Rattus norvegicus: one gene and its partners. The protein of the gene in region 4 purifies or fractionates together with the protein of the main gene of each other region. This does not show direct contact. Links are inferred from orthologs where the notes say so. Each region holds a gene or a part of one and is shown on either strand. Other genes may lie near its edges.

What was found.
Region 1: the proteins of Wrap73 (region 4) and Cep135 purify together in Homo sapiens (co-immunoprecipitation; 6 studies listed by BioGRID and IntAct, counting the BioPlex papers as one, with this or other methods). This does not show direct contact. The link is inferred for Rattus norvegicus from reciprocal best matches to the Homo sapiens genes WRAP73 and CEP135.
Region 2: the proteins of Wrap73 (region 4) and Obi1 purify together in Homo sapiens (affinity purification with mass spectrometry; 3 studies listed by BioGRID and IntAct, counting the BioPlex papers as one, with this or other methods). This does not show direct contact. The link is inferred for Rattus norvegicus from reciprocal best matches to the Homo sapiens genes WRAP73 and OBI1.
Region 3: the proteins of Wrap73 (region 4) and Ssx2ip purify together in Homo sapiens (co-immunoprecipitation; 4 studies listed by BioGRID and IntAct, counting the BioPlex papers as one, with this or other methods). This does not show direct contact. The link is inferred for Rattus norvegicus from reciprocal best matches to the Homo sapiens genes WRAP73 and SSX2IP.

The regions. Positions count from the first base shown.
Region 1 is NC_086032.1:31,905,008-31,908,737, reverse strand, and holds part of Cep135 (centrosomal protein of 135 kDa), read left to right. Parts: coding exon 1-74; intron 75-490; coding exon 491-546; intron 547-1,232; coding exon 1,233-1,401; intron 1,402-2,680; coding exon 2,681-2,791; intron 2,792-3,299; coding exon 3,300-3,485; intron 3,486-3,730. UniProt on the Homo sapiens protein: Centrosomal microtubule-binding protein involved in centriole biogenesis. Acts as a scaffolding protein during early centriole biogenesis.
Region 2 is NC_086033.1:87,685,244-87,688,973, forward strand, and holds part of Obi1 (ORC ubiquitin ligase 1), read right to left. Parts: intron 1,532-3,730; coding exon 1-1,531. UniProt on the Homo sapiens protein: E3 ubiquitin ligase essential for DNA replication origin activation during S phase.
Region 3 is NC_086020.1:237,956,927-237,961,271, forward strand, and holds the start of Ssx2ip (afadin- and alpha-actinin-binding protein), read left to right. Parts: upstream 1-1,537; 5' UTR 1,538-1,646; exon of another isoform or gene 1,647-2,260; intron 2,261-2,589; 5' UTR 2,590-2,756; intron 2,757-4,345. UniProt on the Homo sapiens protein: Belongs to an adhesion system, which plays a role in the organization of homotypic, interneuronal and heterotypic cell-cell adherens junctions (AJs).
Region 4 is NC_086023.1:170,001,462-170,004,677, forward strand, and holds the end of Wrap73 (WD repeat-containing protein WRAP73), read left to right. Parts: intron 1-1,024; coding exon 1,025-1,150; intron 1,151-1,879; coding exon 1,880-2,071; intron 2,072-2,319; coding exon 2,320-2,465; 3' UTR 2,466-2,610; downstream 2,611-3,216.

The DNA of each region.
Region 1 (3,730 bases), on a different chromosome or scaffold from region 4:
AGGACTTTCTCCAGGAGACTGTGGATGAGAAGACGGAAAAGATCGCCAGCCTGCAAGACAGCCTCATTAGTAAAGTATGTATCTGCCACATGTTCTCAGCCTCTCAGCAGGAGAGCCTGTTACTCTCCACTCGAAATACACAGTTCTTACAGCCCTTGACGAGCTCCTGAGACCCACGGCTCTGTCTGTGACACACCTTGATTTCCTTCTAGCCTAGTAATCGGAATCCTTATGTTGGGATTTTGTCTGTTTCTAGAATGTGATTTGGTCTCATTAAAGCACACTTTGAGGAAGCCACTAAAGCTCTTCAGTGGTTAGAGATGCCAAGATGAGACACATAGATGGGCATAGAACTGTGTTTATTTAGAGGCTGCGTTTATGTGTAATTTATGCAATTGCACTTACCTAAATTTAGTTGATTATGCAAATTTAACTGAAGATGATTCTGAATGAATGACTAAAAAATCTTTTGTTTCTGTAATTTCTCCAGGAAAAAGCTATTACCCAGTTGAAGGTCACAGTCTCGGAGTGTGAATCGTCACTGAAGTGAGTAACCGATGAATGGTGTTCATGAGAAATCTCCAGCAAATGCGGCCTTCCTACTTAGCAGAGCCTGGAGCCAGGACTGCTTTCCTGTGAAGTTCCGGCTTTGCCTGTGGCTGCCTTGCTTCCTCAGTCCTGCTCTGACTTGCTCCCTGCTGCTGTTGGATGGCATTGCCTTCCTGCTTTACCCACTTGCTCTCCATGCTTACATAGTCACCTGTTCAAGTCCCAATAGCTCAACTTAGATAGTTTTAATGGCCAGCTCTTACATTTGCTCCTCAATTAAACCTATATTGATTATCTTAAATTTTTCATAATTTGTGTCTGGTCTCCAAAAAGATTTTAAGCTATCTAAAAAGAAAAGTCACTAATCATTTATTCTATGTGCCTTTATGTTTTATATAATAAAGGCAATGTAAACACTAAATATTTAATGTGGCTTTATATTGTATTTTCTAACACCTGAAAATGTTACGTTTGCTTAACTTGTATAATAATAATATTTATTTTGTGGCTCTATTTGTATATAACGGTTGATAGGAATCTAAAGTACCTGAGTATTTTCAGCCATGTCCAAAGGCAGCACTTAGGCTCTCCTGTACTCGCACACATATTGAGACTGCAGTCTTACTTCAAGTGACCTGGAGTTTTCCATAACAGTTTATTGCTACCCCACCACTCTTTCACAGCCAACTACAAGAAACTTTGACTAATCGAGACCGAGAGATAAACAGCCTCCGTCGCCAGCTTGATGCAACTCACAAGGAACTTGACGATGTTGGGAAATCTAGAGAGATCTCTTATAAGGAAAATAGAAGGTTACAAGATGACCTGGCCACAATGGCGAGAGAAAACCAGGTATGAAAGCAGGCAGAGATTTTTCATGAACTTATTACGTTTTGCTAAGTATTAAACTTCTAAATTCATTCTTCCAAAATGCAACAGGAGTGAATGCAAACAGGCTAACTCCTTGAGGGGAATGGTGTCTGTTGGCGTTAGCAAAGGTAGTTCTCAGAAAACAGCCAGCGCAGCGGTCTAGTCAGCGCAGCTACAGTCTCCTTTTCCATCTGGAGTTGAACCTCCCTGCTAGGACTTGGCTTGTTTGTTTGTTTGCTTGTTTCTTTGTTTAGACACAGGGTCACATGTAGCCCTTGAACTCCCTGTGTAGCCAAGGGATTCTGACTCTGGTCTTCTTCTGTCGCCTCTCAAGTGTGGGGATGGAAGGTATGTCATCAGGCCTGATAGCATTTAGTGTTTGCTACTAGGAAGCATGGTTTTTGTTGGGATAGACGGTATTGTCACAGGACTGGGTAGGGCACAGCATCACTCACTCTTAGGGCACCTCTTCTTAAAAGATATGAAGGACCGTGACAGGCTTTAGTAATTTGTGCTTCCTTCTATTGTCTTAGAGATGGATCTGTAAACAAACAAAGGTATATTTTAAAGGGCAGATATTGTAAGGTTTTGTCTATACTGGTTTATTACAAGATTATGCTGTGGAGACTGATGATTTCTTTTATGTAATATAAAAATTACTTTCAGTATTAGTCAATATCAACCATATTATAGTTATATCAGTTTTTTAATACCAACTACTGGCCCTGATTTAAGTTCAAATACAAGGTCAGAACTGTCATGGGAGTTTTATCACAAAGTTTGCTAAAAAAAAGTTTAGATCAGGGCTGGGGCGATGGCTCAGTGAGTAAGGGTGCTTGCTGTGAAATGAAAGTGAGATGTTCTGAGTTCAAATCCCCAACACCCATGCAAAAGGGCTGGCATGGCTTCCTGTGACCTCAGAGTTGGCCAGCCAGCCTCACTGAAATGGGGAGCTTTACTTTCAGTGAAAGATCTGTCTCAGGAGAATAGGGGGAGGATGGCAGAGAGCGATAACTGGCATCCTCTATTCTGTCTGCACATCAGCTTGTGCACCTATATACATAGGCTTTCAATGCACACACACACACACACACACACACACACACACACACACACACACACACACACACACCAGGCTAGCCATGGAAAAATAACCCAGTAAGAGGCTCTTCTTCCCCACATTTTTTTCTTCAGTTCCAAAGGCACTGTGTGCACATGACTGCAGGCTGACATTGGCTCTCTTTGCTCTGCTGACTTACAGGAGATCTCACTGGAACTGGAAGCAGCAGTGCAAGAGAAAGAAGAGATGAAGAGCAGGGTTCACAAGTATATCACTGAGGTGTCACGATGGGAGAGCCTAATGGCCGCGAAGGTGAAAAACTGTTCAGCTGGCATTTGAGACCAGCTTTTGTGTCTTTAATTCTGCCTCCAGCATTAAATGTTGGACATTTAAGGTTGGATATTAGATATTTAAAAGTAGAAGTCCTTCCTACTAACTTTATATTTCTCCATAGATCTTAGCATAGTAGCATAGTATCTATACATGTGCTGATGTTTCCTGAATTCAAGTAGCTCCCAGTGTGTGTGTGTGCACGTGTGTGTGTACACGTGTATGCGGTGTGTGTGTCTGTGTGTGCATGTATGTGCGTGTGTGTGTCTCTGTGTGTACACTCGTGGATGTGTGTGTCTGTGTGTATATGCACGTATGTGTGCACGTGTGTGTGTCTGTATACAGGTGTGTGCATGTATGTGCATGTGTGTGCATGTGTGTGTGTCTGTGCATGTGTGTGTCTGAGTGTGTGGGGCTGTGCATGTGTGATATAGATAGCTGTTCCATTGACGATACTGCCATAGAAATAATGTAATTGTTCTTAAAACAGGAAAAAGAAAACAAAGACTTGCTAGATAGATTCCAGATGCTTCACAACCGTGCTGAGGACTGGGAGATCAAAGCTCAGCAAGCGGAGGGGGAGAACAGCTCAGTCCGCCTAGAGCTGCTGTCTATTGATACAGAGAGAAGGCACCTGCGAGAGCGGGTGGAGCTCCTGGAGAAGGAGATCCAGGAGGTAAGGCGGTGCTGTCCAGGAAAGATGCCACTCAGAATGGACACATGAGGGGCACGACACACAGTGAGGCTGACCCCAGCTCAGAGCTAACACCCTGCTACTGTCACACTCTAGAGGGTGCCCCGTTCCTTTTCACAATGGTAGAGACAGGCGGCCATGTCACCACTCGTTAAGTGTGTGGTCCTGTGCGTTAAGTACAGTCTTACAGTGTGCCAATCTTCACCCTCTGGAGGACTTCCATGTTC
Region 2 (3,730 bases), on a different chromosome or scaffold from region 4:
TTTGGTGGCCTTGGATGGGCTGGCGTTGGAGAGGCTGCTCTGTATCTTTCGCTTTGCGGACTGGTTCCCATTCTTGCTCCTCTTCTCAGACACGAAGGCGGCAGACCACGGAGACTGAAGGGGGCCGGGAAGACTCTGCATATCTGAGGACATCTTAAATAAAGACGACCCAAACCTCTGATCCTCGAATAATCCTTGGGAACTGCTTAACAGCTGAACACCCTGGGAAAACTCTGTCTGAAACAAACAGTTTTGTGATTTGACTTCACTAGCTCCCGAATGAGAAGTAGTGTGGAGAGAAAAATCTTCACTCATTTCATGGTCAGATGGAGAGAGGAGAAAGAAAGAGGAGGGTTTCCACTCACTCCCACCTTCTAACCCATCAGCTTCGAGGGCATTTTTGGGAAGACTCAGTTTAGCTCCTTCTTGTAACTTGTCAGGTTCCTCAAGAAACTCCCTGCCTTGAGGTGACTTTGAGGACCCCTCTGACTCCACTGATTTGAAACCGTTATTGCAAGGGCTCTTGCTGTTGTCAGACTCTGACATCATGGAATCCAGCTCAGAGATTTTGTCAAGATAAGCAGCATCCATGGAGGCCTCGCTGGAGGTCCTTGTCCGGTTCATTTCCAGGGAGCGAATACAACTCAGTCTCTTGGACAAGCAGAATCCTGACTTCTCACTCAACTTTGAAGGTACTTCCCCAACAGGATTTGCAATTGTATTCCCCTCTGAACCATCAAACTCTAAGCTCTGGGCATAGCTTGTGGAGCAACAATCCCAAAACTCTGTCTTTGAGGAAGCAAAGCAGTCTGATTTCTTCTCATTTCCACTTCTATCGTCCTCTGAAGAATTGTTATTACAGGTGTTTGGAGAATCACAGAAATCATCAAATACCAGTTTTCTGAGATGGTTTGCATGCTTTTTGGAACCACCTGCTTTGATCACAGGGTTCTCCCTGTTTTCTGGAGTGTTGAGCTGAAGGCAGCTGAGCGACAAGGGAGTGCAGGAAGCCTGGAGACCATAAAGCTCTTCCTCCTTGTAAGGAGCGCAGTCGCTTGGCTTGCTGCCCCACTGTCGCTCCAAATAAGTGTCCATCGGTGTCTCTCTCGCACCCAGCTGTGCTTCTGTGGGCTTGGGGTATCTGTCTTTGTTTTGGAGACAGTTTGGTTCAGTCCTGCTGGTGCTCTCCTGTCTGGCAGAACTGGTGTCAGCTAGTCTGCTGCTCGAGGGTGTGGCCAGGTGAGAGGCTGAATTGGCTGAGCCAGCCTGCTTTCCAGCACCTTCACTCGGATTCTTGGATGCTGCAACGTCATCGCTGCCTTTGGGCCCCTTGCCATCTGCAGAGGGCGCCCTCTGGCACAGGGCACCCATGCCTTCCTCTGTCTCCTCCGAGTGCCTCAGCTGTGCTACCTGAGACTCCAGTTCCTCTATGTATTTATCGCTTCGTTCTAGAGCTTTCTTGAGGCGATTGGTTTCACGTTCATACTGTTCTACTTTGGACTGAAGAGCAGCAACTGTAAACCTTCCAAACCTGGAAAGAATGGAGGGAGGTTAATGATATAGCTCAGGCTGTCCCCCTCCCACATAACAGTGACCCCCACCCACATAATAGTGACGGTTTCAGTAATGTACGTGAGATTTCAGAACACTTACTGAGTAGGACAAAGGCAAGTCCAGTGTAGTACCTTCAAAAATTGACTATCCTAATAAGAAGTAATAATAAGCACACAATAGAGACAAACTAGTCAGACGTTTTAGTAGTGAAATCAGACCAATGTCTGAGACAAAGGCAGAAACCCGCTGATGATTTCCCCTCCAAGAGCTAGCTATCAATCCAGCTCACATATGCATGAAGAGTTATCCCCTAAAACAATGGCGAAGATTTATGATAACATTTGAACAGTGGTCCACATCTTGAAATATTTACATTCAATCATTTTCCTATCGTACAGCAGTGTTTTACAATACATTTCTTATACAATGTCACCTTGTCAAACATAAAATGTCAATTTGAAATTCAGAAATCCAGACGTCTCAGGAGGGGAGGTTTTAAATACTTATTTGGAGCCTTTCAATTACAGTCGCTGCTGATATGAAGCTTTCTCTTGGCCTTTCTCAACACTGGGCTCTAATTCACTCCAGCTCTCCTATTTTCGGTATTTTACAACTGTGTGGGACATCAATCTCATTTCTTCCAACTTTGAAATACGAAGTCAGTGCTTGTGGTTCCAACATACTACGCATAAAAACATTTTTTATACTTTCTGAAGGGGTAGATTTGAGAGTAACGAGAAAGAACATCAAAAATGCACTTGTTACCTGGGACTATCCCTTTCCCATTCTTCTGTCAAGTGTGGGTGCTGGGTTCAGTTGAGAAAACAATTTTTGAGCGGCTAGTACAGGTGGGGAATGCATCTGGGGCTGGAGGCACAGACTTACTAAGACTATCCCAGTTCATTAATTCTATGATGAGTGAGAATTCTCATAGGAAACTATTTTCATAGGACACCATGAAAAATCCCTTTACTTCTTCAAACTCCCTCAGAGCCCTAGTTATTTTCTTGGTAACTTCCATACTAACTGATTGAGAAGAATTGGAGAGCTGTCTGTGTGCAGAAAGCTATTTGAGAAGGAAAGCTTTTTTAAAAACTATTCTTTTTCTTCCCTTTCTTAATTACAAAAATAATTAAAACTAAGAAAATGTATCAGCAGTAAATTGTGTGAAGGAGTACAAGAAGTTGTCAGGAACAGTACCCTGTACAGTCAACTGTGGGTCCTAGAGAGCCACTCAGTGCGCCACCTCCTCAACCCCTAGCCCAACTTCTCCCCAGCATAGCACTCGTATGATCTCTTGCTCCCGACAGAAGCAGACAAGAGCAAAGGTAAATACAGAATCATCACATCTCAGGGTAGGAAGGGCTCTAAAAGATACAACTGCTGAATATTGACCCCCTCACTGCAATTAACTCAAGTCCCAAAGCACACTGCCTTCAGCTCCCGCACTGCAGGACAAAAGCCACAGGGACAAACCTCGTCATCGTAAGACAAAGTTTGCTACTACAAGAATTTGGTTAAGCAATGTCAGAGTTTTTCTTGGTTAAAAAAAAAATGTTTGGCTTCTAAATATAGTTGGTAGCAAAGCCATAGTTCTTCAAGAGAACTTTAGAAATGTGGACAAAGATGGGAGGGCATTCTGCAAACGTATTTGTGAGTTCCTGATTGGAACCACTCTGGTATAATCAAGTAACCTGCATGTTTTAAATGGGAAAACTGTGTAGCATATTTATTTAATGCAAAGAGCAAAAGTGACAGCCTTACATTTACTTTACAGACTTTATAACACAGGTATCTTCACATGAAAAAAAAGACTAAATGGTTTAAAATCAAATACTGCTTCCAGACAGCACATCAGAGGCTACCAAATTTGTGTGTGTGTGTGTGTGTGTGTGTGTGGTATAGACATGTATGTATGCTGTGCATAAGCCAAAGAATGACAATTGGGTGTCCTCTCTCACTTTCTGTCTTATTGCTTGAGAAAGGGTCTCTCAACTGAAACTCAAGCAGAGCATGTGGATAGACTGAGGGCCCCATGGTCCTCCTATCTTCCGAGATCAGCGTCTGTGCCCAGGCAGAGATGTCATGTGTGTCAGAAGTCCTTCCTTCCTCGGACCCTCACACTTAGGCAGAGAGCTCTTGCTCACTGAGCCATCTCCCCGGGTCCCACTTAATG
Region 3 (4,345 bases), on a different chromosome or scaffold from region 4:
CCCTGAAGGAGGAACATGAAAATATGTACACTCTTGGAGGCCCACTCCAGGGGTGGGACCATTCCATCATGTCCCTTGCATGGCCAAGCTGGACTCAGCGTTCAAAGAACAAAGGCATTAAGATGTTTTTTGAGATAGGAAAAAGAATGATGTTTTGGAGAGTAGACAAATGAACTTTCAGAACACCCTTTGGGTGCAGAGAGAGCAACCACACCCCATTAATGGTCTGACTTAGCAAGTCAATCACTGGCCGTAATTCTCACTAGCGCTGCTCTCCAAAGCATTTTTGTAATGATGTGTCTGTCCTTGCTACCTGTGTTCAGCATCTAATCTGTCTCCCTCCTCTTCTAACGCTCATGTCTGCACTCTGATCCACTTCTCAGCATTGAGGGTATGTGTAGTTCTTCTCTCTCGTTCTTCTGTGGCAGTGAGGTATTCCTTGTTTTCCTTTTATGCTGTTTTGGTCTCAAATTGTTAACAGGAGCCACTTAACCCCAAACTTTTTTCTCCTCGAGTAAACACCTCGCTAGAAAACCCCAAACTTCTTTTTCTCCTCGAGTAAACACCTCGCTAGAACTCCACCACCCCGCCCTTTACTATGGATTCTCCATTTTCCTTTCTGGAGGAACTTTTGGTAGAGATAGTAGGGAGGTAGGTGGATCTGGCCAATTGCAGCTGTCATACATTTTCTTTGCACTCAGTGAGTGGGCCTAGGGAGTTTTTCCATCAACTTCTAGTTCACAAGTACTGTTGTTTCTTCATTTCCCTTTCCAGCTGTCTCCTCCCTAGGTTCCTTTCTTTGCTTAATTTTATTCACTACTCGAGCTTTACTAGCCCAGGCTAGCCTCGAGCTCCCAATGACCTTGAACTTCAGTTCTGCTGGTTCACAGACCTGCAACCTCACGCACGCTGTGTGCAGTCCTGCGGCCTGAACTCGGGGTTTCTTGCCCACTACCCCGGCTCTGGTTTTCCACTGATTTTTGTGCCATTGGTGTGTTGATTCCCGAGGCCACTTGACCTTCCTTCTCCAGTGCCTGACCCAATTCTGGATGCCCGTTGGTGTCTCTCCGATCTGGGGAGCGCACCCGGTTCTCCTTGGGAGCGTTGGGGTTCAGGGTCGCCTCGGAGGCCGGGCTCTAAAGCGGCTAGGACCCTCCTCTTGTCCCCGCGGAGAGCTAGGGGCGGGGAGCGGCGGCCTGGTGAACCCGGGTGTAACAGGTGCGGTGGCCGCAGCTGCGCGGGGGAGAGCGGCTGGGGTTGTCGTAGGCTAGTCCTCGCTGGACCAATGCGGGCCGCGGTTGTTCGTCGCCTGGCAACCGGCGGAGCCAATGGGCGGCGCCAGCGCAGGGCGGGGTGGGATGGGCGCCCGCGGAGGAAAGCGGCGAGAGGCGGGCCGGGCGGACCCGGCGGGCTGGAGGCTGCGCGGAACCGCTGCGTGCCGCCGCGGGTGCGGGCCCGCGGGCTACGGGAGGCGTGAGCCGCTCCCGGTGCCGTGACGGTGAGCGGCGGGATTGTGACGCGCAGCCGGGGAGGGCGCCGGGCTGGACGTGGGCGCATGCACCCGGGCCGGCACTGGGCGGGCTCGTCGCGGCCGTTGCAGCGGTTGGAGAGCGTTGCTGCCAGCCGCCTGCAGCGGGAAGTGTGAGGTAGGTGCTGGGGACCCCGCGCCCTTGCGGGATTCGGCGGGGGCATGCGCGGGGTCCCTTCGGCCCGCGTGGGCTCGGCGATCCCTCAGAGGCTGCCGTAGGACTTAGCGAGTGAGGTCCGCCGTAGGTGGGTGCTTCATCGTGGTCCAGCCCCACGTTTAGGGGAAGAACTTACATCATCGCAGGGGTAGACTTGCTGGAGAAATTATTTGGCCTCGATTTTTCCAGTGGTGCACAGTGAGTGAATGGTGAGCTCTGTCTGGTCAGCACGTAATTTCTCCTAGTGCAGGTCGCTGGGTTATGCAAGTCACCTGGGCCCAGGAAATAAAACTTGCCAAAAAATTCCCCATCAGCACCAGTAGAGGAATCTTTTCATTAACCCCCACAGTGTATCAGATCCATAACCGGCAACGCTGATGCAGTTGTGAGAACTGGGAGTTCCTTCTAGACTGTATGAAAGGTGGAGTCCAAGGATGAGAGCCTCCTGGATTTAAGGTTTGCTTCCATTCGGAATAGAGTCCAGGCCTGGAGTCAGCTGGAAATAGTGCTGCCGTGGAGCCCGCAATCCGTGGAAGGAAATCTTTCTAGTCCATAATTTGATCTCGAACGGAAAGGTCCGTATATGACGTGACACACATTTACGAGGCTGGATAAAATTCGAAATGGTCGCTCCAGCCAGCAAAACTTAATCCATCCAATCTCCTTACTCCCCAAGAGCTTGTGGGCCCAGGAAGCGTAGTTTATTCAAACTAAACAAGGCAAGCTGCCATCCCTGTCGACACTTGGTCCTGCCTGGTGTGCATGAAAGTTCCTCATACAAAAAACGATTCTCTGAGAGGAGGATTAGGAATGGATAGAATTCAAACCAGGGCGTTTTTCTGGTGACTGCTGGGGCCCCTACAGCCTGTCATTTTACACCCTTCCTTTCCTTCTTGTTCTCCAGCTGTACAGGGAAGATAATAGGCCCAGGGATTAAGTAACCAGGCTGAAGCAGCTTGGAGATAACTGCAGAAGCTGGGTCACTCCAGGATGAAACGTGAAGCTTACTCCATGACACATTGAGCCTTGTGACAAGACCTGTTAAGTCCATAGCATCCTCGACTTGCTCAGGCAGGTGTACAGGACATGGAAAAGTTAACTGTTCCTGCTGTCCCTGAGACCTCAAACCCAGCCCAGTCAAATTAATGTACTTGGCCTCTCTTAAAAGTGGACAAACCAGCTTGTTGGCCCAAACCGGTTAGGATATACTGAATGTGCCCTCACTCAGCATTCAGCTAGAGGGGGTGGCTGGAGGGAGGGGAGGTGGACAGGGAGGGAGGTAGAGAGAGAGAGAGAGAGAGAGAGAGCGCGCAAGAGAGCAAGCAAGCTTGCCTAGAACTGTGGCTGCCCCAACCTTTTACTCCAGCTACCAGGAGACTGAGGTGAGGACAGCTTGAGCCTAGGAGTTCCAGACCTAGTAGAACAACACACACATCCTACTTAAAAACAAGCTCCCTCTCATTCTGAATGCCCTCACACAGTCCCTGGGGAACCAGACCAGGGCCATGGACATGCAAGGCAAGTGTTCTGTTGCTGAAACCCAGTGTGCCTTTATTTTGAGGCAAGGTTGCCTTGTTACTAGCTTGCCCAAGCAGTCTTTGAACTCCTGCCTCAGCCTCCCAGTAGCTGGACTTATAGCCCCGTATTTCTAGGCTCAGTTTCAAGAGCGAATTTTAGTGATAGCTTCCTGTATCTTTTACACTAGCTGTGAACTTACCTTGCTGGCTTACCCAATTGTTCATAACAAGAGGCTGTGTGAGTGTTCTGTGTCTTTAATTATGGTTAGGTGCTTATGAGCATACAGCTTACTTAGACTCATGAGCTTCTAGGATGAGACAGTACACCATCCGTTATTAGTAATGGGAAAACCTAGATTTATACGGTTTGATGCTGGTCCAGTATTTTGTGTAGTGTAGGAGCGATTCACTGTATGTTAATAAATTTATTCTTTCAGTAAACATTTATTATCAGACACTCAGCTGCCAACTGCCAGGCCTAAGGATAAAAAGATGTGTTGCTCTGAATATTGTTCTGGGGGGTGGGGTGGGTTGGTGTTGTGTGGAGAAGGGGAGAATGCAAATGTGGGAGGGCCTTAGCAAAGAAGGCATCTCAGCTGTGTCCTGACAGGCGCTCACCAACTGGTGCGAGCAGCCAAGCAGGTGCCGGTTACAGGTGGTTGGTGTCCTTGTGGCTGCTGCGTTAGTGACAAGCATTAATAACAGTGCTGTGACCCTTGACCAATAAGGAATATCCACACGGTTTTGTTGGGGATTATATTGCTTCTGATGTAGAGTATGTCTGCCCAAGTTAGTAATTTGCACAGTCTATGGGCTCTGGACCTTGATGGTCTAGATAAGACCTGAAAGCTTTCCCCAGGCTTAACTGAAGCTGACAGGAGCCTTAACAGTGCAGCAGTGGCTGCTCAAGCGGGTCCTCTGTGCCAGGGCTGGAGAGCCAAAGGTGATGAAGATGCAGCCACCATGGAATCCAGTCCCAGCCCAGGGCAGGCCCTGAGGGATGGGAGGTCCAAAAATCTGGGGTGGGAGCAGTGTGGGATTCAGAGAGGAGACTCTGGGATCAATAGCAAGTCTTAATGGAAACTGAAGAGACTGACTACAGTCCTGAGGTTGTGCGGCTGCATGCTTCTCCTTCCTCAGTCT
Region 4 (3,216 bases):
CGTAGAGATCACAGGTGCTCTCCTGTGCGCAGCAGAGAGATCTCAGATGCTCTCCTGTGTGCAGCGTAGAGATCTCAGGTGTTCTCCTGTGTGCAGTGTAGAGATCCCAGGTGCTCTCCTGTGTGCAGCGTAGAGATCTCAGGTGCTCTCCTGTGTGCAGCGTAGAGATCCCAGGTGTTCTCCTGTGTGCAGCGTAGAGATCCCAGGTGTTCTCCTGTGTGCAGCGGAGAGATCCCAGGTGCTCTCCTGTGTGCAGCGTAGAGATCTCAGGTGCTCTCCTGTGTGCAGCGGAGAGATCTCAGGTGCTCTCCTGTGTGCAGCATAAAGATCCCAGGTGCTCTCCTGTGTGCAGCGTAGAGATCACAGGTGTTCTCCTGTGTGCAGCGTAGAGATCACAGGTGTTCTCCTGTGTGCAGTGTAGAGATCTCAGGTGCTCTCCTGTGTGCAGCGGAGAGATCTCAGGTGTTCTCCTGTGTGCAGCGTAGAGATCCTCCTGTGTGCAGCGTAGAGATCACAGGTGCTCTCTTGGGAAGCCTGCCTTCCCTCCCTGCTCTGTAGTCTCTGAGGGCGTGCCTGCTTGGAGGGTGGCAGGCAGCCAGGGTTTTGGTTGCTCACAGTGCCATGTACTTACTTAAGCATCTGTTGGTTGATAGTCCCTGACTCCCAGCTGGAAAAGGGGGACCATCTGTGCCCCGAGATGCTGGAAGCGGCTAGAACGGCCAGATGTCCAAGCAGCTGGGAGTAGCTCAGACAGCAGACCTGAGCAGGTTTATACCCTTCCTTGGGAGCTCCTGACTGCACTCTTATCCCCACTTGGGGCCCTGAAGGCCCTGGAACTGTTGTCCCCTAGGGACGTGTGACTAAACCTCTTAACAACAGCTGTGCTCTTCAGCCTTCCAGCCGGCAAACCGTTCTTTGCATGCATCTCGGCAGGCAGGCAGCCTGTACTCCTTTCCTCTCTCTCTGCCCTCTCCCCTTGACCCGTGCCCTCAGCATGTCCTCCTCCTCCCTGTCGGTGTTGCAGATGAGATCGCCTCAGGACCAGTTTCCTTGCAGACTCTGAAGCCGGTAGCTGACAGAGCGAACCCCAGGATGGGTGTAGGGATGCTGGCTTTCAGCTCAGACAGCTACTTCCTGGCATCAAGAAATGGTCAGTGTGACACTCATAGGCAGGGTCCGCTGTTCACAGCCCCTTGACACCAAGAGTAGAGATAATGGAGAAACAGCTCGGGGCAGCTGTGTGCTCTTCTCCCTGATTTTCTGTGGAAATAGACATTCTGCACAGCATTGCCTGGCTGCCTGACTGCCCCCTCCTGCACACCTACCTCACTGTGCAGGAACAGAGGGCCAGCACTGACCTCTATGGTTCTGGATTTATTTGCATTTTGGGGGGTGCGTGCCTTTTTGATAGTTTGTCTTTTTTATTTACTTTATATCCTGACCACAGCGCCCCCTCCTTCCTCTCCTCCCAGTCCCACCCTTACAAGTCCTTCCCACCATTGTCCCCTCTCACTCTCCTCAGAGGACGACTCCCCACCCCCACCCTTGGTTACCACCCCAGCAAGACCTAGGCACATCCTCTCCCACTGAGGCCCAACTAAACCCAGGTAGGGGAAGGGGATCCAGTGGCACCAGCTGGACCTAGGCCCCCTACATGTAGCACACGTGCAGCTTGGTCTTCATGTAGATCCCCTAACAAGTGGAGTGGGGGGGCTGTCTTGTTTGCACTTTTTACATCTACAGATGTAAAAACCACAGGAAAAAGAAGGGTTGTGGCCTTGGGCGGCCTTTCCTTTGTTCTGGGTGCTGGTCCCAGAGAACAGCAGGGTTTGCTTCAGAGGCCAGCACTCACATGTGTCTTCTTTCTGCTTCCTTGCAGACAATGTCCCCAATGCTGTCTGGATCTGGGACATTCAGAAGCTGAAGCTGTTTGTGGTCCTAGAGCATATGTCTCCAGTGCGCTCATTTCAGTGGGACCCACGGCAACCAAGGCTGGCCATCTGCACAGGAGGAAGCAAGGTGTACCTGTGGTCCCCAGCAGGCTGTGTGTCGGTGCAGGTACCCGGGGAAGGTGAGCATAAGCCAGCACATGGTGGTCCAGCATATGCTGGCCTCAGGTTGATCTGCCATGTCATGCATTTGTGAAAGGTGCCCCTCCATATCTTGCAGGGCCTTGCCTAGAGTGTCCCTGACAGGAACCTACACCCTAAGCTTTCCTGGCTTTGTCTTCAGCCCTGGGGTTACCAGACTCCTCCCTCATCCACAGGCGCCCTCCCCACAAGTCCTACTTCCTAACCCTCTGGCCACCTGTCTCTCTAGGTGACTTTCCAGTGCTTGGACTGTGCTGGCATTTAAGTGGGGATTCCTTGGCCCTCCTTGGTAAGGATCACTTCTGTCTTTGCTTCCTGGAGACCAAGGAGAGGGGCACAGCCTATGGACAACGGGATGGCATGCCTAGGACCTGAAGGGAAACTGAGGCAGCAGACTCTGCAGACCCCCATATGAGGAACAGCTGTACAGGCTCTCTGGACAGGATGGACTATTCTGCCCAATTTTCTGTAAATATGTATAAAGTTATCATGTAAAATAGGTATTTGTTAATCCCTGGAACAGTGGTGGTCCTTTTCTTCAAGGCCTTAGCTCAGGGGTCCAAGGTCTGTCTTGGGAGGATGGAGTATCCTGAAGTAATGACAGCAACCTGCCTTATCATCCTTTGTTGTTCCCGAGCCGCTTCCAGTCAGTATGCTGTGGGACAGGGGTGGACGGTCAGCCCTCCTGCAGCTGCAAGGCCCCAACGTCTGCACCTGTCCCCATGTGAGCTGTGAATCCCACAACAGTTGGACAGGTCTCTCTGGCCTTGCATGCAAGTTCTGCAGGGAGGCCTGGGTCCCTGCCAGGAAGAGTGGAAGTGCTCAGCCTACCCAACATGCCTCTATCTCTAACAAGTGCCTTGAAAGCAGACAGACCAGCATGTCCACACTGGTGGCCATCTGAGTTTCTGTAAGGAGGACTGAGCTAGCAAGGGTCCACAGCCAGCCAGGTGCAGCCTCAGGCCTCAAGACAGTCTTTGGCACACCTGTTTTTGTGACAATAACTTCAAAAAGGAGCAACTCCATTTGGTTTTAATTGTCTTTACTAGAACAAAAGCACAGGCTGAAGACAGGTGCATCTGAGGTCACCTTTCCTCTTGAACAGGCCATGACATTCTGCTCACAT